Linked DNA regions of Cricetulus griseus. The protein of the gene in region 1 interacts with the protein of each later gene in a biochemical or structural test. Links are inferred from orthologs where the notes say so. Each region holds a gene or a part of one and is shown on either strand. Other genes may lie near its edges. The genes, in order: Nf2 and Cd44.

Evidence for each region.
Region 2: the proteins of Nf2 (region 1) and Cd44 form a complex in vitro, tested with the Homo sapiens proteins (2 studies listed by BioGRID, with this or other methods). The link is inferred for Cricetulus griseus from reciprocal best matches to the Homo sapiens genes NF2 and CD44.

Annotation. Positions count from the first base shown.
Region 1 is NW_023276807.1:100,114,942-100,125,733, forward strand, and holds part of Nf2 (merlin), read left to right. Parts: intron 1-430; coding exon 431-553; intron 554-1,706; coding exon 1,707-1,924; intron 1,925-4,244; coding exon 4,245-4,350; intron 4,351-7,228; coding exon 7,229-7,356; intron 7,357-9,574; coding exon 9,575-9,740; intron 9,741-10,358; coding exon 10,359-10,363; intron 10,364-10,792. UniProt on the Homo sapiens protein: Probable regulator of the Hippo/SWH (Sav/Wts/Hpo) signaling pathway, a signaling pathway that plays a pivotal role in tumor suppression by restricting proliferation and promoting apoptosis.
Region 2 is NC_048599.1:74,840,715-74,851,490, forward strand, and holds the end of Cd44 (CD44 antigen), read left to right. Parts: intron 1-6,021; coding exon 6,022-6,226; 3' UTR 6,227-6,450; downstream 6,451-10,776. UniProt on the Homo sapiens protein: Cell-surface receptor that plays a role in cell-cell interactions, cell adhesion and migration, helping them to sense and respond to changes in the tissue microenvironment.

The DNA.
Region 1 (10,792 bases):
AGCCACTGCAGCTTCCTGCAGTGAAATTCTGAGTGCGCTATTGTGGATGAAATTGTGTGAAGGGGCCATAGGGACTAACAGTGTCAAGGTGGCTCATCTGAACAGATGAGAGAGCTGTTTTTTTCTGGGCCACTGCTTTGGGGAAGGGGGAACTATGTGGAGAACTGCCAGTCATAGAACAGAGCCATGTGAAGTCATGGAGACTGAATTTGGGTTTTGTAATTTGTATTCCCTATTGGAATTTGTTTCAAGGAGTACAGCTTTTAATTCTGCAGTTAGTTTAGGACAGGGGGCAGCAGACAACGAGAATGACCCAGGCTACCTAAAGTGAAGACACTAGAAGGATCCCCAGAGGAGAGTGAGCCTTCAGAAACTGTCCGTTCTTGGGTGTCTGCAGCACTGTGACTTGGAACTGTTCTCTTACTCCCAGATGGAGCGTCAGCGACTGGCTCGAGAGAAGCAGATGCGGGAGGAGGCTGAGCGCACAAGGGATGAGTTAGAGAGGAGGCTTCTGCAGATGAAAGAAGAAGCAACCATGGCCAATGAAGCGCTGGTGATTTCTGGGTTAGGGCTCTGGGAGGTGACTTGTGGAGTTAAGCCTCCTGTGGACCATGATTGACTTCACTTTTTAAAACACCAGTACCTTTTCATTCTGCAAAATTTGGTTAAGTTCATTTGCAGCCAAACTCTACTTTCATAACTGAGTTGCCTTTGAATCAGTGGTTCTTGGCCTTAGCCCTACCAATTCTTGGGAATACCAACCATAATCTGGGAGTAGTTCTCTTTTTTGAAAGATGTTTGTAACTCTACCTGCTAGCTGCCAGTAATGTCACTCCGACCTTAAAAATGTCCTAGGACTGGGATGTGCCTAAGGAGCAGAGCCCTTTTCTAGCATGCCCAAGATTCTATGTTTTTATTTGTTTTCATGTATTCAGTTTTAGGGCATGGCTAGTGAGAAGACAGGTTTCAGGTGCCCCAGGCTGGACTTTGAGTTCATTATTTAACCAAGGAAAACCCTGCACTCTTGGTCCTGATTGGAGGAGAGGCATACCCACCATGCTCAGTCTACCTTGCATTTAATTCCCCAGCACTGCAGAAAAATAGTCTCCAGACATTTGTGCAGGAGTAGGCAGTAGGCATGACTCCTGCCTTTGAATCATTGACTTAAAGGGACAGAACAGAATTTACATTGCTTATTCCCCTACAAACACAGGCTTTAGCTGGAATGCATTCTCTATCTAGAATGCTTTTTTCTTTTTTCTATGATGGAGCCTGCAGAGCTGAATAGTTGGTGTGTAGCATGTCATCTGTTGTCAGACAGACTGAGTATTTCTCAGTGGGAAGGTACAGGGAGATTAAGACTGGCTCCTGGAGCTGGAGAGATGGCTCAGTGGTTAGCAGCACTGACTCCTCTTCCAGAGGATCCATATGGCAGCTTACAACCTTCTGTAACTCTAGCCCCAGGGGATCCGATGGCCCCTTCTGGCTTCCTAAGACACTGCATATATAGGTGTACAGACATGTATGCAGACATAGCACCTACACACATAAAAATAAAAGTTAAAAAAAAAAAAAGGCTGGTTCTTGTTGCCATGTTGGGGAATCCAGATGTGAGGAGATAAGCCTGTACACTGTCTGAGAGCACTCTCCTTCCCAGATGTGAGGAGATAAGCCTGTACACTGTCTGAGAGCACTCTCCTTCCCAGATGCGGTCTGAGGAAACCGCTGACCTGTTGGCTGAAAAGGCGCAGATCACAGAGGAGGAGGCCAAGCTTCTGGCACAAAAGGCTGCAGAGGCTGAGCAAGAGATGCAGCGAATCAAGGCCACAGCCATTCGGACAGAGGAGGAGAAGCGCCTGATGGAGCAGAAGGTGTTGGAGGCGGAAGTGCTAGCACTGAAGATGGCTGAGGAGTCAGAGAGGAGGTGAGTGGCTGTCCTGGGCACTGGAGCCTGGTAAAGGGTTGCTTGCTTGCTTCCAACCCTACCAGAGCTGGTTACAGCATCCTTAAACTTCTCTGTTGTGGGAACAGGACTATAAGACTTCTTCCTTGACAGGCTGGTGGGATGGGAGGTTCTCTTGTCCAGGGAACCTTTCTGTCATGTCTCCTTCTACTCATGAGGTTTGCAGGAAAAACATTTAAGCATATCCATAGGCTGCTTTTAGCCAAAGAGATAAGAAGAGGCCTCTTTTTTTTTTTTTTTTTTGCATTTAAAAGAGGGAGGGGCAGTGTGCTGGAGAGATGGCTCATGGATTAAGAGCACTGGCTGCTCTCTAGAGAACCTGAGTTTGATTCCCAGGACCTACATGGTGACTTACAACCATTTGTAATTCCAGTTCCAGAGGATGCAACCCCCTCTTATGGCCTCCATGGGCAGCAGGCATGCACATGGTGCACAAACATACATGCAGGCCAAACACCCATACACATAATAAAATAATTTTTTAAAGGGGAAGTGGGGCCGGGGAGATGGCTAATCAGTAAAATACCTGCTGCACAAGCATAAGGACCTGAGTTTGTGTCCCCAGCACCCATGTAAAACCTAAGCACAGTGACATGTATCTATAGCCTCAGCACAGGAGTTAGGAGAGAAAGCAAAGACAGGCTGATCCAGCCAGTGTAGTTGAATTAATGAGCTATTCCTTTATTGAGAAGCCCTCCACTAAAGTGGAGAGCAATAGAGGGTTATACCCCACATTGACCTCTGCACCTGCACACACACACACACACACACACACACACACACACACACACACACACACACACACACACACAAATCATCTTGGTTCTTTTCCCTTTTGATGCAGATCAATGGCAATTATTTACTTCAAAAGGGAAGTAAGTACCCATTTCCCTGCAGTTTTTCAGGTAGTTAGGGGAGCAGAGCAGCTGTGTTTTTTTGTGACCAGGTTGCCCCACCTTGTGTCTAGGTTGAAGGATAGAGCTGTTGTTTGTACTCTTTAGACTATTCTAGACTTTGAGTTGTTCTAGTCCTGTAGCCTTTAGATAAACACTGGCACATCCTCACAGCATCTGGCTCTATGACTTAGAGGACTTGAATATGGCTCTTAGCTACTTAGGTATATTCACTATAGTTTTTCTCACCATTTTTTTTTCAAATGTGCATTTGTGTTTTGCCTGCATGTATATCTATGTGTGTGAGGATATCAAATCTTGGAGTTAGAGTTATGAGCTGCCATGTGGGTGCTGGGAATTGAACCTTGGTCCTCTGGAAGAACAATCAGTGTTCTTAACCACTGAGCCATCTCTCCAGCCCCTCACCACTTTTTGCATGTCATTCTGAGTATATGGTTCCTTGATGCTTGCTCACCCCAGGCTCCTTTCTGTGTGTGCATCATGTCTCTTGGGTTGGACCACTAGCTATACAAGCCTTCCATGGCTATACCAACTCATAGAGCAGAGTGCTGCACCAAGACACAGATGCCTTCAGTGATGGGACTTCTTCCTGCCCAAGCAAAGTGGATAATTGGCCTCCAAGTGTTTTACTGGAGATGTGAAAAACAGTTCTTTCACATTCTGCCCTTTGTGGCCCAGTGGGAGGCTTATGATGATGTCCTCAGTGTAAGACTTGTGATGCCTTCCTTTGCCTAGCCCACTCTTCACCCAGAGACAAGCAGAGCGTCTCTGGGCCCTCCCCACTCTCCCTCCTCTCAGCCCGTTTTAGAGGTGGGTTGGTGGTGCTGTTGTTTGTTTCTTTGTTTTGAGACAGGATGTAATCCTGGCTGTCCTGGAACTCACTCTGTAGACTAAACTGGCCTCAAACTCAAGAGATCTGCCTGCCTCTGCTTCCTAGTGCTGGAGTTTAAGGCATAGGCTACCACACTTGTTATTTTTCTTCTTTTGAGATTGCATCTGCCTGTGTTGCCCAGGCTGTCCTCCAAATCCTGGCCTTAAGTAATTCCCCTGCCTCAGCCTCTGGGGTAGCTGCCACCACAAGCATAACCCACTTTACTGGCTTGCAGGGCTGCCTCATTTGTTGTTTCCCACCAGCTACTCCATATTCTAGTCTAGCTTTACTGTTGAGATAAACAGCACCCAGGAATACTGTTATCACTTTAGAAGTTCTGGCTTCCTGTAAATGTCCCTGTCACATTGTCCTTATTTGTCTTGTTAGGTACCATGTACAGTGTTAATTCAGGTCCTTGCTCTGGAGGTAAGGTAAATGTGTACTCACTCTCTCTGTCCCCCATCTGTGGAACTGACAAATCTTTCTTTCTTTGCAGGGCCAAAGAGGCTGATCAGCTAAAGCAAGACCTTCAGGAAGCCCGAGAAGCAGAGCGAAGAGCCAAGCAGAAACTCTTGGAAATTGCCACCAAGCCCACATATCCAGTGAGTCTGGGCTCAGTCTAGCAGCCTTTAGCTGCTTTCGTCTAGCAACTTCCCTAAGCCCTCCCTGCACTGCACTTCACCTCACAGTGTCTTCAGGGTGACAAAACAAAGCAAAGCCTGGATAGGACCTCCTAATCTGCCATTTAGCCTTGGACTGACTAGTCAGCTACCACTCTTGTTGCTTAGATAACAGACCATAGGGCTGTTTCCAGCTCTGGAATATTTATTACTACTATAGTCTCTACCCTCAAGAGAATTTGCTGTCTAGCTCCCTAATGCCAAGCTAAATGTAATCTTCAGCTGTCAGTATATACTGTGTACCATAATATAGTTCTGTGGAGGGACTGACTCTACACCTCAGAGTGCAACAATGCTGTGCCAGAACCAGCTGCCAACCTCAGTTGGGGACTGGGAGACTGACTTGTACTAAATGGGGGTCACGAGATAAATAGATGTCACTTTCCTTCCTTTCCTCTGCACATTCCACTCTGTAAAGGTTTTGCTCACTTGTTCTCTATCCATATAATACTATCAGTTGCCAGTCTCTATCCTGAAGATATGCACAGGTGCCAGATCACAGCCCAGCTCTGGAGACAGGAAAGGCTTGGTATGGTTGCATTTTGCAGAGGAGCTGGATTCCCTGCTGAGTTGGAAAGAGAGGATGGGATATTCTAGGTAAGAACACAATGTATTTGCAGCACAAACACATAGCCCATTCACACATATGCTACACACACACTGCATAGTTGTGTATATGACAAACACAGCACATTTGTGCACATGGCACATTCACATATTACACAGATGCATTCAGGACACGGAGACATAAGTGCCCAGGGTTTGAGTTGAGGAAATGCAAGCAGTTTGCTATTGCCATGTGTCCTTGTTATCTATTCCTGGGTAACAGATAATCCCCAAACAACCATTTATTTGTGTCTTGGGCATGTTGTGTTAATCAGGCTCATGTCTTCTCTCAAGATCTCTCGGATGGTCACATTCAGGTGACAGCTGGAACTGTGATAGTCTGAGGGCTCAGCTGGGCTACGTACCTGAAATACATGTGTTTAAAACATCTATTGGAGCAAACTTTATAAATTTATAAAACTTTGCTCTTTCCTTTGGCAATGTGTCCTTAATCACATCATGGCCTATGGGTGGATTGTAATTCGGCTAGCCAGTCCCTATAGATGGATATTTAGTATGTTTTCTATAGCAATTTTGAATACAGCTGCACTGAACATCCCTGAACACAAATCTTTGCACACATATGTGGCATTATTGGTAGATTCAGTTCCTGTAAGTAGAACCGTGAGGTCGGATGTTCAATTGTGATACTTACCGAAGAGGTTATGCTAGCTTCTGCTGTCACCAGAAGGGTAACAGCTAGTGTTCTTCCTTCCTGGGATTTTTTTTTAAGTATAAGATAAATAAATATTCCTAAATTATAACTATCCATCCTGATGAATTTTCATAGACCAGACTCTCATATACCCAGCATTCAGCTCTGAAAGCAGAGTGGGGCCCAGATGTCCCTGCTCAGAGCCATGTTTGACGCTCTCCACAGACCCTGTCTCCACAGACGCTCTCCAATGACCCTCATTGCCATAAATGAAAGTTCAGAGGTTCTATTCCTTCCACACACTGTTCCAGACTTGGTTAAAAAAAAAAAGTCCAAGGATGAATAAAGACAGTGTACCCTCAGGAAGTTTGTAGACAGAGGAAAAGATAGCCATAAGGGAACTTCGCAGTGTGGGGTTGAGGGAAAGACCTGTTGCAGCTCTGTGCACACTATGCTAAAGAACTGCAAAGGGAAAGAGCAGCCATTTTGCCAAGAGGGCTATGGCAAGAGACTGAAGGAGTTGAGAACCTTGAAGAAGGAATGGAGAACTTGCTAGACATGACATACACCTGTAATCCTAGTGCTCAGGAGGCTGAGACAGAGGCTCACGAGCTTAAGACCAGCTTGGGCTATGTGGTGAGACCCTATCTCAAAAATGACAAGAGGGCTGCGGATATAGCTTAGTGGTAGTGTTTACCTAACATGCACACCCCTAGTACCATGAAAATGGTACTAGGAAAATGACAAGGAAAGAGGAAGAGAGGAAAGCAGCCAGGAGGGAAAGAAGGAAGGATACATGCAGAAGTACACAAATGCAAAATTGGCACGGCCCAAGGGATAATAAGCAGTGCTGTTTATGATTTAACAGGACAAATAATGGGGAACATATGAGAGGTAGCTAGGGGCTATATGCTAGGTGACCTTTTGTTTTGGGATGAAAAGGTCCTGAAAACAAGTCTAGTGACTTTACTTTATTTCAAGTCCTCCTCTGACTGTGTCTTCTGAATCTAAGCCTGTAACATATGAGCAAAGCCTTTCTGGTCCAAAGCCAGTCTCCTACCAACCTCCCTGCCGGGCACTACAGATGTCCAGTGCTCCTGTTGGACCCCTGCACTCTGCCTACCACCATGCCTCTTTTCTGGTACCCTTCTTTGGCTTATTCACTGATCCCCATGGAAGCAGTACCCTAGTGACCCCCTCCAGCCTCCTAAGCCTCTGTTCCTGTCCTGGCTAGTGTTTAACTTACTGTGAGAATTTGTAGACATCTGCTTCCTGAACAAGACTTTCATGTGCTTAGAGCCAGGGAGCCTGTCTTTTCTGTGTCCAGCTCATAGCCCCACGCCTGGGAGTTTCCCACATGTAAAGCTGAGTGCAAATTTGCATTTGATTCAAATGATCATGGAAATGCTGAGGTTTGAGGAGAGAAGAGTGACTTTGTCTGAATGTGGGTGCTTTGGGACCACTTCCCTGCAGTACTGAGTGCAAAGGGCGTTGTCCTGTGTAATTTAAACCTCCTAATCTGAGTTTTCTCACTGACAGCCTGTGAACCCAATCCCAGCACCACTGCCTCCTGACATACCAAGCTTCAACATCATTGGTGACAGCCTATCATTCGACTTCAAGGATACTGACATGAAGAGACTTTCCATGGAGATAGAGAAAGAAAAGTATGTACCCTCTGTGGCCTACTTGCTTGAGGCAGTTGTGAACATGAGAGAGTAGATTTGGTCTGGGAACACAAAGGTCACCACAGCAGTTAGTCAGTCATTATCCCTGCAAAGGTTTGCTCTGTTGTCACCCACTAGGAGAACAAATTTCCTAATTAGAAATTAAAGATGACCGATCAGGACAGTAGTCAGTGTCCCCAGAAGAAAAATAACATTTGATTGGTGGCCTGGAATTTATAGTGGTTCAAACCTTGACTGACAAAAAGACTGGATCATGGTAAGTCCCCGAGTCAGACTGTTGTTCACATAGTGCTTAACTAGTTTTCTTCTGGTCATGTTCTTCAGCAGTGGTTCCTATGTCTAAAACAAAGGTGAAGGAAAAGAAAACAAAAAACAAAACAGGGTTTCTAGGCTGAGCAAAGCGTGGGTCCTGCTGGCAACCAGCCAAACCACAGCTGCTTCTGTCAAGTGCCCTCCACCTCCACTTTGTGGTCAGCGGAAGTGAAGCAGAGATGGAGAGGAATCCCGTGGTAGATGAAATCTAAGTAAGATCCCCCTCAGTCCTTGAGTAAGTTGGTTAATAGTGCCACAGCTGGCAGAGAACAATCACGGAGGCCCTATGTGTTGAGCACCTGTAAGTCTGGGCATTTTAGGGTTTGTCTTATTTAACTCATACTAGTCAACAAATATCCCACTGGCATCAAAGGCAGGTTTTAGGGACTGGTGATATAGCTTAGTTGGTAGAGGGCTTGCCCAACATGTGCAAAACCCTGAGTTTAATCTCCAGCACAGTATAAGTCAGGCATGGTGCCTACACCAGTAATCTTAGTTCTCAGGAAATAGAGATATGAGGATCAGAACTGCATTATTATCTTTGGCTACTTAACAAATTCAAGTCTAGCCTGAGCTACATGAGGCCCTATTTCCAAAAAAACAGTTTTAGTGTTCTAATTATATAAAAGAGAATAGACTTAATGAGTCACCCAGCATCACATAGTTGATGAGGAGCAGGACAAGGATTGAAACCCCTTACTCACTGTGGTACTCTCAGAATAGGGCTCTGCAGTCCAGCATGAACCATCATAAACCAGGCTATCCTCCTTTGATCCCTCTACTGAGAACAGCTAAGGAGCTGTGATCCAGAGCCGCTGCTGTCAGCATCAGACTGAGTCCCTTTCTTATTGTCCAGATGTACATGTTTATGTGGTTGTGATCAGCATAAGGCCACATCCTGTCCTGTGCCTTGGTTTTTTTATAGTTTGTATTTTCTCACTGACTTAGTGTGTTTGGCTGTTATAACAAAATGCCAGAAGCTGGAAAGCCTATAAACAACAGAAATTTACTTCTCGTAGTTCTGAAGGCTTAGAAATCCAAGGTCAAGGTATTGTCAACTCAGAGTTCAATGAGAGTACTCTTCCTGTTCATAGATGGCCCTTGCTGTGTACTCGTATGTGTCAGGATCTCTTTAGGGTGTTTTTTGTTTTTTTTAAGGACACAAATCCCATCATGAGGCTGAACTAGTTACTTCCCAGGGCATCACCTCCTAATACATGAGTGAGTTGGCCACAGTCTATGAATGGGACAGCACTACATTCAGCCCATAGCACTTATTTCCTACACAGGCTGGCAGAGCCCACTGACTGGCTGCTGTAATCTGTTCAGAATGTTTCCTTATATTTGTGTTATATGGTTTTCTGTTCATGCTCTTATGGTTAAACACTTTAACCTCTTCAGGTGAAAGTGGAGACCTGTTTTTTCTCAGTGTTGGCTGAGTGAGTGTCTGCCATCTTTTCCTAAAGGTCTCAGGATAAGTGGGAGAGTAGATCTCTTGGTTGACTGCTTCAGGAGGGGCAGAAACAGAAGAGTGTTTTGGGATTCAGGAGGTTTGTTTGATGTGATTCTTCATACAGAACTGAAAGCTGTCTGTGGCAGGGTTATTTGGAGAACACTCTGAAAGTTTATACAGGGCTTTCTTCCTACACTTCATTTCTTCCTGACCAGAGGCTCTGTAATTATTATCCCAATTGCACTGATGTGGAAAAGAGATTATTGCAGTTAAGTGGGTAGCCCAAGCTCCCTTGGCTTCTGCGTGGCCAGGTTCAGGTGTGAACCCCAGGCTGCTCCTGGCTATCATACCGAACAGCTTGTAAGTTATGATGCATCCCTTCCATGCCTCAGTGTCTGCCCAGTTCTGATGCATGGTTTCCTCTTGCCACAGAGTGGAGTACATGGAGAAGAGCAAGCATCTGCAAGAGCAGCTCAATGAACTCAAGACGGAAATCGAGGCCTTGAAACTCAAAGAGAGGGAGACAGCCTTGGATATCCTACACAACGAGAACTCAGACAGGGGCGGCACCAGTAGCAAGCACAATACCATTAAAAAGGTACCCTAGTCCCTGGGTTTTGATGAACAGGATACTTATTAATGAAATATGAGGTTGGCATCTAGTTTCCTCAAGAGCCCAGTCATTAGACTCTTGTTTTTTTTCTTTTCTTTCTTTCTTTCTTTCTCTCTCTCTCTCTCTCTCTCTCTCTCTCTCTCTCTCTCTCTCTCTCTCTCTCTCTCTTTTTTAACATGTACTTAGTTGAGGGGATTTTTCAACTCCTGACAGAAAGAATTTAATCTGCCAATGACCATGAACCCATTGGCTTGATGGAAGTGGAGCTTGTGTTAAAAGCTCTGATGAGATGAGTCCCTGTTTGAGGATGGGTTTTGATCTATCACTGAGCACTAAAGTGATTCTGTCTTTAAAGCCAGTGGAACTTATGCCCAAGGAACTGCCTTAATTAATGAGAGAGCAGAATGAATTAAAGGCTGTTGAATGGAGTCCCCTCTCGTCTTTGTGTAAGACCATGTTATGAATGTCCAACATTTTCATACTTAAAAGGCAGAATATAGGAGAGCTGTAATGTTTAAGAAGATGAGACTTTATTTAGGAGGCTCAGAGTCTCATCTGCCTCTCCTGATATTTAGAGTGCTCATCACTTTAGAAGTTACTCAGTCCTCGTTATCAGGCTGAGAATGTACATATCTCTTATTTGGGCAAAGCAGGAAGTTTTTTCTGGAAAGTTAATGCTTTTAGCTGATTGTCCCTGTAAAACAGGGGTTATAAAGTGATTGGTGTGGTGACATACTCTTGTAACGCTAGCATTTAGGAGTGAATGGCAGGTGGATTGCAAGTTCAAGGCCATTCTGGGCTACAGAATAAGACCCTTTTCTCCTTTGAGTTTGAATGATAACTAATGTAGTTAAGTTTTACTCTTTATTTCAGTCAGCAGTCTCCAGTTTAAGGACTGTCTCTGTTTTCAGTGATTAAGTTGTCACTGGAAATCCAGAGAAACTCATATCTCCCTACATTTCACTGGTGTGTGGGTGTATACACACATACATACATACACATACACACATACACACACACACACACACACACACGGA
Region 2 (10,776 bases), on another chromosome or scaffold:
CACAGAACGGGCAAACAGGCTGCTCACATCCATGAATCCCCTCCCCTCCACCTTAACAAAGGCTCGGTATTTCAAAAGTTATTATAATATTTCAAAAGTATTTCAAAAGTATTCAATATATATATTATATATATATAATATATATATATATATATCTTAAATAAAAGGTGAAATGCAGGACCATAGTAACTCTAGCAGTAGGAGATGTGAACTTAATCCAGGGTACTCCAAAAAACATCTAAATCTGCAATCTTCACAGACACTTTAAAGATTCATTTTTTTTCCCAAAGTGTCTGCTACAGACATTAAGCTTTTTGTAAACAGCCATTGTGGTTGCCTCATGGAAGGTTAGAGTCTTCCGGCTAAACTGGGTTGACTTTGCTGTGTCTCTATATCACCCTACAGCCCCCCCCCCCCCCCCGCCAATGCCTCAGATTCTGAGATGTCTGGGAAGAATTATACACTTCATTGTTGTTGGTTTTTTCTTCTATTTTTTATTTAAGTTAGAAACAAGATTGTTTTATATGTCAATCCCAGTTCCCTCTCTCTTCTCTGCCCCCCACTAACTCCCTATCCCATCTCCTTTCTGCTCCCCAGGGAGGGTGTGGCCTTCCATGGGGGATCTTCAGAGTCTGTCATCCTTTGAAGCAAGACCTAGGCCCTCCCCCATGTGTCTAGGCTGAGGGAGTATTCCTCTATGTGGAATGGGCTCCAGAAGTCCATTTGTATGCTAGGGATAAATACTGATCTACTACCAGAGGCCCCATAGATTGCCAAGGCCTCCTCCCTGACACCCATATTCAGGGGACCTTGATCAGTCTTGTGATAGTTTCCCAGCTATTAGTTTGGGGTCCATGAGCTCCCCCTTGTTCAGGTCAGCTGTTTCTGTGGGATTCACCAGCCTGGTCCTGACCCCTTTGCTCATCACTCCTTCCTCTCTGCAACTGGATTCCAGGAGTTCAGTTCAGTGTTTAGCTGTGGGTGTCTGCTTCTGCTTCCATCAGCTATTGGATGAAGGCTCTAGGATGGCATATAAGGTAGTCATCAATCTCATTATCGGGGGAGAACATTTATGGTAGCCTTTCCACTATTGCTTAGATTGTTAGCTTGTGTCATCCTTGTAGCTCTCTGGTCATTTCCCTAGTGCCAGATTTCTCTTTAAACCCATAATGGCTCCCTTTATTGTTGTTCAGAAACAATAAGCAACTCTTTCCAGCGCCCAGCATAGTCTCTGTAGGCTTTCTTATCATCTTCAGAGTAATACTGTTTTATTTTATTTAGGGTTAATGAAAATGTTCAACCAAGTCACAGCATTGCTACCTATACTTTGAGAGCATAATGAAAACATTAGTCATGAGCACTGACCACATACCAAAACTGAGGGGAAATCTAAGAGATCTCCTTTGGGCTCCTATGACTGGATAGAAACAGGCTTATTTTTAGTTCAACTTAGATGTGTAAGTTGGGGATTCCCTTCAAAGAGTTTTTATTCTTCCTCTTGGATTATTTTTGCTCAATTAAATATGAATTTCCTTTTGTTTGGAATCAGCCTTTGATTCCAGACCCTAGGAGGTATCACATATACAGTCCATAAGTTTTGCAGATGTCACCATAGAGATGTCCCCAATGCTGTTGATGTGTGGGGCCCTCCCCAAACATCTCAACTGTCCCTGAGAGCAGTTGGAGTCTGCACATTGTCACATTGTGGCATCTCATCCCACATGGTTCTCTGTCTCCTCAGTGGCAGAGAAAGGGCCTCATGGCCTCTCCTCTTCTTGTCCCCAGGCCAGCCATCACCCTAGCAACAGAAAAACAGAGACAGGCAGAAGCTGGCTGAACTAGCCTCTCACCAGAAAAGCAGCTTCATGGACACCATAAATTACTGTGTCCTGATTTGATAATTGAAAACAGATTTGCCACGCTGCTGAAGGGTGGTTAACGGCCACACAGGCCCCTTAATGTGTGTTGTCTTCCTAAAGCTAATAGCCCATCTCTAATCCTGTTAGGAGGCAAGAGCCTTTCTGCTTTGAACACTGCATTTAAGAAAGATAGGGAACCCTATTTTCATCCAAAAAATTTTGGTGGAAAATGAGGCCTCCAGAGGGGATTCATTTATCCAATAACATCTTTTGCAGGCTTCTATGGCTGTTAGCCCTGATGAGGAATGAGAGAAAATGAAGACAGTGTTTCTTCTTTAAAAGTTTTGAGGCTTAAATATGCCAGGGCCTCATACCTACTAAGAGCTGGAAATGTGGTTCAGTTAGTAGTGGATTGCTGAGCACAAATGAGGCCCTGAGTTTCATGTCCCCAGAACCTACATAAAAAGCTAGACATGGTAGTGTGAACTAACAATCCCAGCACTGGGGAGGCAGATCCAAAAGTCTCTCCCTGGAGCTTACTGGACAGTCAGCCTAGCCAAATTGATGAGCTCCAGATTCAGTGAGAGATCCTGCCTCAAAATAAATAAATAAATAAATAAATAAATAAATAAATAAATAAGGGGGAGAGTGACTCAGGAAGACACATTGACCTTTGGTCTCCACACTCATGTGCACCCAGGAGCCCACAAACCTATGTATGCACACACACACACACACACACACACACACACACACACACACACACTACTAATTCCATCCAGTCACTATTGAGGACACCTTGGTGCTCAGTGCATCAACCACACATACAAACACACAGGGGCCATGAGAATCACAGCTTCTTAATGGTTCTGGTGGGGAGGGGCTCAGAGAGGTGGCTCAGCAGTCATGAGCACTGGCTCTGGACCTCTGTACTTCGGCAGTAGCAAAATTACAGTTATGAAGTAGCAACAAAAATAAGTCTATGGTTGGGGAGTCACCACAACATGAGGAACTGTATTAAAAGGTCGCAGCATTAGGAAGACTGAGAACTGCTGATTTGGAGTAACAATCTGGTCCTGTCCGAATGCACAGGCATATTTCAATACTTAGAGTGCATTTTCCTTTGTTTCTTATTCTACCCTTCAACTCTCTGGTTGATAAACAATAAGCAAGTGAGACTTAGTTAAGTCAGGCAATTGTCCTCTAAGAACGCAGGCTATGCAACCTGAGAATTTGAAATAAGACAGCAATGTTCTCCTCCAGCCTTTGAGTTATCCTACCAGTGCTTAGAGGAAGGCCAATGGTGGGCTGGGGTTGTCAGGGTCAGAGCCCGAACCCTAGCCCCTGACTTGCCCACCCATTCCCAATAGGCTAGTTACAGTTTCACAATTCACTGTGAAAAGCAGAGAAAGGAGAGGTAGTCAGTTGTGGCCACATTGGGAAGAGGAACAAATAAAGCTATCCCATGACAACTCTTCCCCCAGTCCATCTTCAGAGTCCAAACATGAGTTTAAGGTTTAAATAGAAGGCAAGAGGTATGAACATGTAAGCGATTATAGTGAAGGCATGATGCCACCCATCATTGACCCAGCATTGTCAGAGCTCCAGATTGTCCTGCACGGAAGTTGTTACAATTTGTGGGAACTATGTGAGCTCTCTATCCCAAAGACAAGTTCCCCTCTGGCTGGCCCCAGGATTCAGCCTTTTTCTTCCCCCAAGTATGAGATTCTTTTTGGAAGAAATTCCCATTTCTTAGGGTCCCTTGTTTTAACTGTCTGATGGCCCAAAGGAGGGGCACGAAGGTCTCTCTAGGATGTTGTCATCCCTGTCGGGTGGTTACAGTGGAAGCAGCTGAAGAAACCACTAGAGTTCACATCACGTGGCTTTCATCCCATTAACGACTGCAGCCAGCACTTCTGAATGCTTACTATATTCCAGGTTCTCCTCTGATTATCCCAGGCCTTATTTCAACCCACATTGTTCATAAAACAGTAAATAGCAGTAGTAGGCAGACTATGGAGTTCCCTCTGTGTGAAGTACTTGCCCCAATCCTGTGAGGCTGACAGTCCAACAGCCTGATTTCACAAGTACATATTATCAACTGAGGCTCAGAGAAGTCAAGTGAGATGCTTCAGGTCACACAGCTTTAAGATCTCAATACCAAGCCAACTAAAGTCCTTCATCATGCATCCTGCTGTCTCTATGGACCCCACCTACATCCCCACCCCTCATCCATTTATTTTACAGTTGGAACATCTTTCCTTCCACCCTTCCCCATACCTGTGCTGGAAGATACAGAATCTGCTTCCTGTTGAGGCAGTATGGTTTTGACTTTCCCAAACAGGAGATTAAAGTTTATGACCTTGGCAGTCTTGCAGGGAAGAGCCCATGATCACAAATAATAGACGCTTTGACTCTAGACCTGGAAATATCCAGCAGCAAAGAGAACTGTTCCAACTTCATTGTTTTCAAATCTTCAGCACTGACAGGGCCAGGGTGAATGCAGCCTTTTCAGTCCGAAGCTCAACATCTGAATATGGACTCTGTCGTTCTTACTTCTTCTGCAATCTCAAACCAGCCCTTAAAGTGCTCTGGTCCTCAGTTCCCACTGCTGCAAGAGTGGGAGTGAAAGCTGCTTTAATAAGGATTATAACAAACTACTTGTACTGTGTCTGGAATTGAGCATGCATTTAATAAGTGCTCATCTATTTCCCCTCGTCATAGTTGTGAAGCTCTAAGACTTTGCATCCATTAGCCTAATATAACTGCTATATGCACAGCAGTGAGCAGGTTACAACAAGGAGGAAGCTCTGAGTCAGATTGTGTGGGACCAGGCAGGGCTATGAGAATCACAAGGGCAAGGTCAGAGTCATGCTTTCCACAGAAACCCTTCTCCTGTCTGAGAATCTTGAGTAACATTACTAAGAAATCTCAAAGTGACAACAAATGGTCTTTCTTACATTGGTTTTAAGCATCCTATAGCAGCATATGTGAAAGTTAACCAACCTTAGAGAAACAAAAATCAGTATGGCCTTGTCCTTCTGAATCAGTGTTGGTTTCTTATATTCTGTCCATGTTGTAATAATACTGACAAGGGCTGAAGGAGGAAGTAGCGGAACTTTCTTGGATACACAGATCAGAATGATTTATGATCACAGTCGTCACCGTTTATCTGAGGCTGTGGAACTTGAATGCTTCACAGGCAAACATTTGCACTGCATGGTATGGGGGATGGAGAACCAGGACTCCAGAGTCAGAAGGATCAGGGTTTGCATCCTGACTCTTTCATTGCTTGTTAACTAACTTAGAAAGACTTGGATTTTCAGATCCCTAACAATTTCTTCAGCTGTAAAGGGCTGGGGGTAATAATAGCTTTGGGTACCTGATTCTCAAAGTTGACTGCAGCAGAAGTCACCACAGTGTGGTGGTTTATTGTTTGTTCCAAGTACCACAGACTGAACCTAGAGTATCATGCATGCTAGGCAAGTACTCTACCACTAAGCTATACATATCAGACTTCTTTTGCCTTTTTATTTGAAGACTGGGTTTCATTCACTATCCAGATTGGTCTTGAACTCATTTTGTAGTCCAAGAAGGCCTTGAACTTGTGATCTTCCTGTCTCAGCCTCCAGAGTAGCTGCAATTATAGTCTGTTAAACCTCAGATCCTGGGCCCCACCGCCTTCTGATTTCTTCTTCAGTAAGCAGTAGAGTGGATAATGTCCATGTCTGAGAAGTCCCCAGGTGCTTTTGCTGCTGGACTAGGGACCTCACTTTAAGAAGTGCTGGTGTCAGTAGGCAGTGGTGGTGCATACCTTTAATTCCAGCACTTGGGATGCAGAAGCAGGCAGATCTCTGAGGTGGAGACCAGCCTGGTCTACAGAGTGAGTTTCAGGACAGGCAGAGCTATCCTGTCACAAACAAACAAACAATTAAGTGCTGGTGTTATGAGTTAGGAGGACCAAGTAGAAAGGGCACCATGCCCAGTGCTTAGCACATGGGAAGACCATGCTAACTTGTACTGATGATCATGTTGATATCCCCTGTGGTTTCAGTCATGATGATGATAGTTGGTTGATGGATTGATTGATTGATTGATTGATTGATTGATTGATTGATTGATTGTGTACCTTTTCTCATATGATGTTTTTAAAACTCATCAGGTGTGGGCAGAAGAAAAAGCTGGTGATCAACAGTGGCAATGGAAAGGTGGAGGACAGGAAGCCAAGTGAGCTCAACGGGGAGGCCAGCAAGTCTCAGGAAATGGTGCATTTGGTGAACAAGGAACCCTCAGAGACTCCAGACCAGTTTATGACAGCGGATGAGACCCGGAATCTGCAGAATGTAGACATGAAGATTGGGGTGTAGTGCCTATACCAGTAACTTGGAAAGACACCAAAATCGCAAACATGTCAATACTGGGAGCTGGGACCCTTAACAGATGCAATGTGCTACTGATTATTTTTATTGGGGGTAGTTTCTGCACAAAATTTTCTATTCCTTTTGCATTTTGTTAAAAGTCTGTTCCAATTTATGAAAACAGCATTGCTTTCTGAAATGAGGGCCCAAAGAATACTCCATTAAGAATTTGACTCTTCCAGCTCCTTCCTAGAGGTCTTGCATTCCCAAGGGATGCTATGGATGGCTTCTATCAAATGCAAATTCCTGGTCCCTATTGAATCTTTTCCCTAACCTAAGTCCCAGGTAACAGCCACCAGCCAGGGACTTACCCCAGGGCTTAGAGGGATTGGTCTCTGGGAAGAAATTTGAACGGGTCCATATTGCCTCTCCAGCAGCCCAATCTCGGGCATTGCTTTCCAGTGGGGTGGGAGATCAGGTGTACTGGTTACATACCTTTTTTTTTTATAGACTCCCCTCTCTGCTGGAAAATTTTCAGATGCTTCTGAAAGAACCCCAAAGGGTGAAGCTATTTATCTGTAGTAAGCTATTTATCTTTGTTTTTGAAAAATCAAACCCTGGAGGTCCTTTGTTCAGTATGACTTTTTTTTTTAGTTTATTTTTGTCAGAAGCATAACAGGGTATAAGTTGATTCATAATAAACACCTGTCCATCTTCCATATTGACCTGTTGTGCTGTGATCCTTCAGTTTCTAAACCAGCAAGGTTTGAGTCTTCATAGCATATCAGGATGACTTTAGAATGGTCCTCCTAAACCTGTGCCAGAGCATCTATGCCCAACTCAGGTTCACCAGGCTGAATTTCCTAAAAGATCAAACAAAGAAACACTGTTTTGTATCTAGGGCTATCAAAAGGGTTTCTCTCCTATTCTGGAATCTGAATTGTGTGTAGGAAAGCTTTAATCACCTTTGTGTTTGGGCCACCCTTTTCTCTCCCTTAAAGGGCACATTAAGTTTCTATGTCCTTCAGTTTTTAGAGTCTTATTTCGTAGAAACTGATCCTACTAGTGACTTCACAAAACAATATGGTGCATACTTGTGACACCTTACAATGAAAGAGCAGCCAACAGAAATTAAAGTGCAGACAGCAAGCAGTAGATTGGCATAAGGAGGGTGCGGTGTACAACCCATCCCACTATTTCCATGGATGTGCTTGTTGACATTTTCACAAACCAGTTGGTCCTCAGAATGAGGTGCCTGGGAATCCCCCAGAAAGCCTCAGGGCTGCCCACTACTGGAATCTTATCAACGGATAAGCAGACTTATGGTTTAGCCAAGGGAGAATGGTGTTACCCTCTAACCTCATTTTTTTTTCCCACATTTTGGGTAAGTGTTTGGTGGCATTTATCCATCTGCCGGAATGTCCCATTGCTCCTGGATCTTCCCTGGTTACTTGTAGAAGAAATTAAATCTATAAAGTAAGGCTTTCTGTAAGATGAGACTTCCTTTCTAAGTCTCCCATGGTGTTACTGTTGACTAAATTTATATGTTTAATATTTTTTCAAATAAAAAAATGCAAGAGAAAAGTTTACCATCTAAATTGGGTTTGAGTTTATATCAAGAGTGGACTCAGGCTTTATTTAAGGAAATGCACAGACTTTCCAAAACTATTTCTAGCCTCAGCTTCCCCTACCTACTTTCCCTCCTTCCCTGTTCACCTCTCTCCAATGCCATGGCTCCCACAGATTTTCTTTTTCTTCCTCTGTGAATGTTTATTAGTCAGTTTCATATTTAGACACTTAGTTTTTTTCTTCTTTTCCAGTTGAAATACACACTAGGTGACTGTTTATTCTTCTCAACTGGTGTTAGAATGTTCCTTGTCCTTACAGCTGTCCTGGCCTGACATGCCCACAACAGGATCACCTGGGCTCTTTAACCTGTATGCAGCAAACCACTCTGGAATTGTGTATAAAGGGTACAAAAGACTCTTCCATGCTCTCCTTGATACTTAGATACCCTTTAGAGGCACTAGGAGAGGCATGTAAGTCTCAGGGCCAGAGACGATTCTCTACCCATTCCAGATATGCCTACCAGTTGGATTGGGGTAGGATAATACTTGCCATGATGATTATGATTCTGGTAGCATAATCTGACTTTGTGTTACTCCTACCAATGACTTGCCAGGTGATAGAGGATAAGTCATTGAACTGGGAGTTTGTTAATAAAAATAAGGGGGTGACATTTAGTGATTTTTGTAAAGTAACATGAGCACTTCAGATGTTATTTTTACCAGCAATTGTAAATTTCTCGTGTGTCCTGAAGGCTTTCTTTAAGAAAAAAGCTTTACATTGTCATCCATAACACCAAGAACTGGCTTTATAGCCAACATGCATTCAAGACTGTTGAAACAAAGTAGAAGAAAGAGCCACATTCTTCGGGAAATTAAAAGGTTCCGAGGAACAAGAATTGACCACTTTGTGAAAATCTCCTGTGTTGACTTTTCAAGTGCAGCCAATTGTTATGTATGTACAATGACTTTTGTTATCGTTCCTTTGATTTTTTTTCAGAGACCACCCTCCCTTTCTCTGGTTTTTGTATATTTATTGATTGACCAATAATAATGAGGAAAGCGTGATGTATATATCGCCCAATTGAAAGTGTGTATTGGAAAACATTAAAAAGCCATAAGAAATGGAACCCATGGTCTCTGATGTGAGGGGCCTGGGAAGTGGGGAGGGGCAGAGAGTGACTCTCTGGATGTCTGAGTAATGTGGAAGAACTCATAGGTTTCTGAGGCATCTGGACTCATGTTCCTTTTTTGTTTTGTTTGCATGTGTATAGAAAAACATGCTGGAGCAGACATGTATGTGGAAGCCTGAGGTGGATATCAAGGTCATCCCTGCTGACTCTTCCACTTTATTCATTGAGGCAGAGTCTTTAAATTAAACCCAAAGCTCTCCAGTATGGCTAGTCTTGCTAGCCACCTTGCTCTGGGTTTCAGGTGACCCACTATGCCCACCAATGTTTTACATGGGTTCTAGGGATCTGATCTCCAGTCTTCACAGATGTGCTATAAGTATATTAACCCCTGAGTCATTTCCACAGCCCTAGAACTCTTGATCCCTCTGCTCCTACATCCCAAGTGTTGGGATTACAGTGATGTACCACTTAAAGAAAGAAACAACAATAACAAACAAATACACAAACTTCCATCACTTGAATTTAATGTTGAGGAAAAGTTTGACTGCCCCCAGGAGATACATTCTTCAGAATCATCTAAGCAATGGATGATTGGATGCTGTAAAGTGTGACCTCCTAAAATGCCTAGGGCTGCCTTTGGCCTCTTGGTTTATGAGAGTAGTAAACATACCTTAATTCCAACTATCATGACAGCTTCTTAACCACATCTGGGGCTGCAGATCAGTTGAGAGAGTACTTGCTTGGTATACACAAGGGCCTGAGTTCCATTCCCAGCACTACACATATTGGTGTAGTGGTGTGTGTTACGATAAATCTTTCTGCCAAAAGCTGCCTGAGCCCCACCGCCATGTGTGAGCTTTATGTCAGCCACCCGCTAGAGTTAGGCCCAAATGAATACATAGAAACTTGTATTAGGTTCAAAGCTGCTTGGCCAATAACTAGGATTCCTCATCTGTTAGCTCAGTCTCAATTATCATAAATCTATATATTTTATAAGACTTATCTTATCGGACACCTTATTGGTGTCCCTCCTTGCTGGTGGCTCATATCCTGTCGCTGGAGGAGGCGAACGGGAAAAAAGGGACCCTTCCTGTTTCTCCTTCGCTTAAATATGAGTCTCCTTGCTATGTCACTTCCTGCCTGGATCAGCACTTCTCTACTACATTTCCCAGAATCCTCTTTGACTCCTAGTTCCATCTAACTTGCTGTCTCATTGGCCAAACAGTATTTTATTTAACAATCAATAAGATAAACATATACAGTACATTCCCCGTCAGGTGTGTGTCTGTAACCCTGGCCTTTGGAATTTAGAGTCAGTAAGATCTGAAGTTCAAGGCTATTCTTGGACACATATTGAATGTTGGGCCAGCTAGGATACATGAGACCCTCTCTTCAACAAAAGGACATGACAGAAATGAAGAGTTATTCTCAAAAGAAGCTTGGGAGGAGAAAGGAGAGCAACAATACTTTGAAGCTAGGAAATGGTGGTTAACTGATAACTGGTTGAAAATTTTGGAAGTGTTCAACCCTAAATCAATTGTGGGGAAAGTGAAATGATTGCCACAGAGGCCCAGAAATTGGCATTGGTAACTATCCTGCAAATGATGAGGAAGGTGGATGAGCAGTTGGAGTCCCAGCCCCCTCCCTTCCTTTATGCAGTCTAGTTTATTGTCCTTTCACAATCCCCACAGAAAAGCAAAAATATATTATTTGGAGAGGGTAAAATAGTTAAGGGCAACAAGGGAGACACAGTTGGCAATATAAATATCTCCTCTCTCTCTCTCTCTCTCTCACTCTCTCTCTCTCTCTCTCTCTCTCTCACACACACACACACACACACACATACACACACACACACACA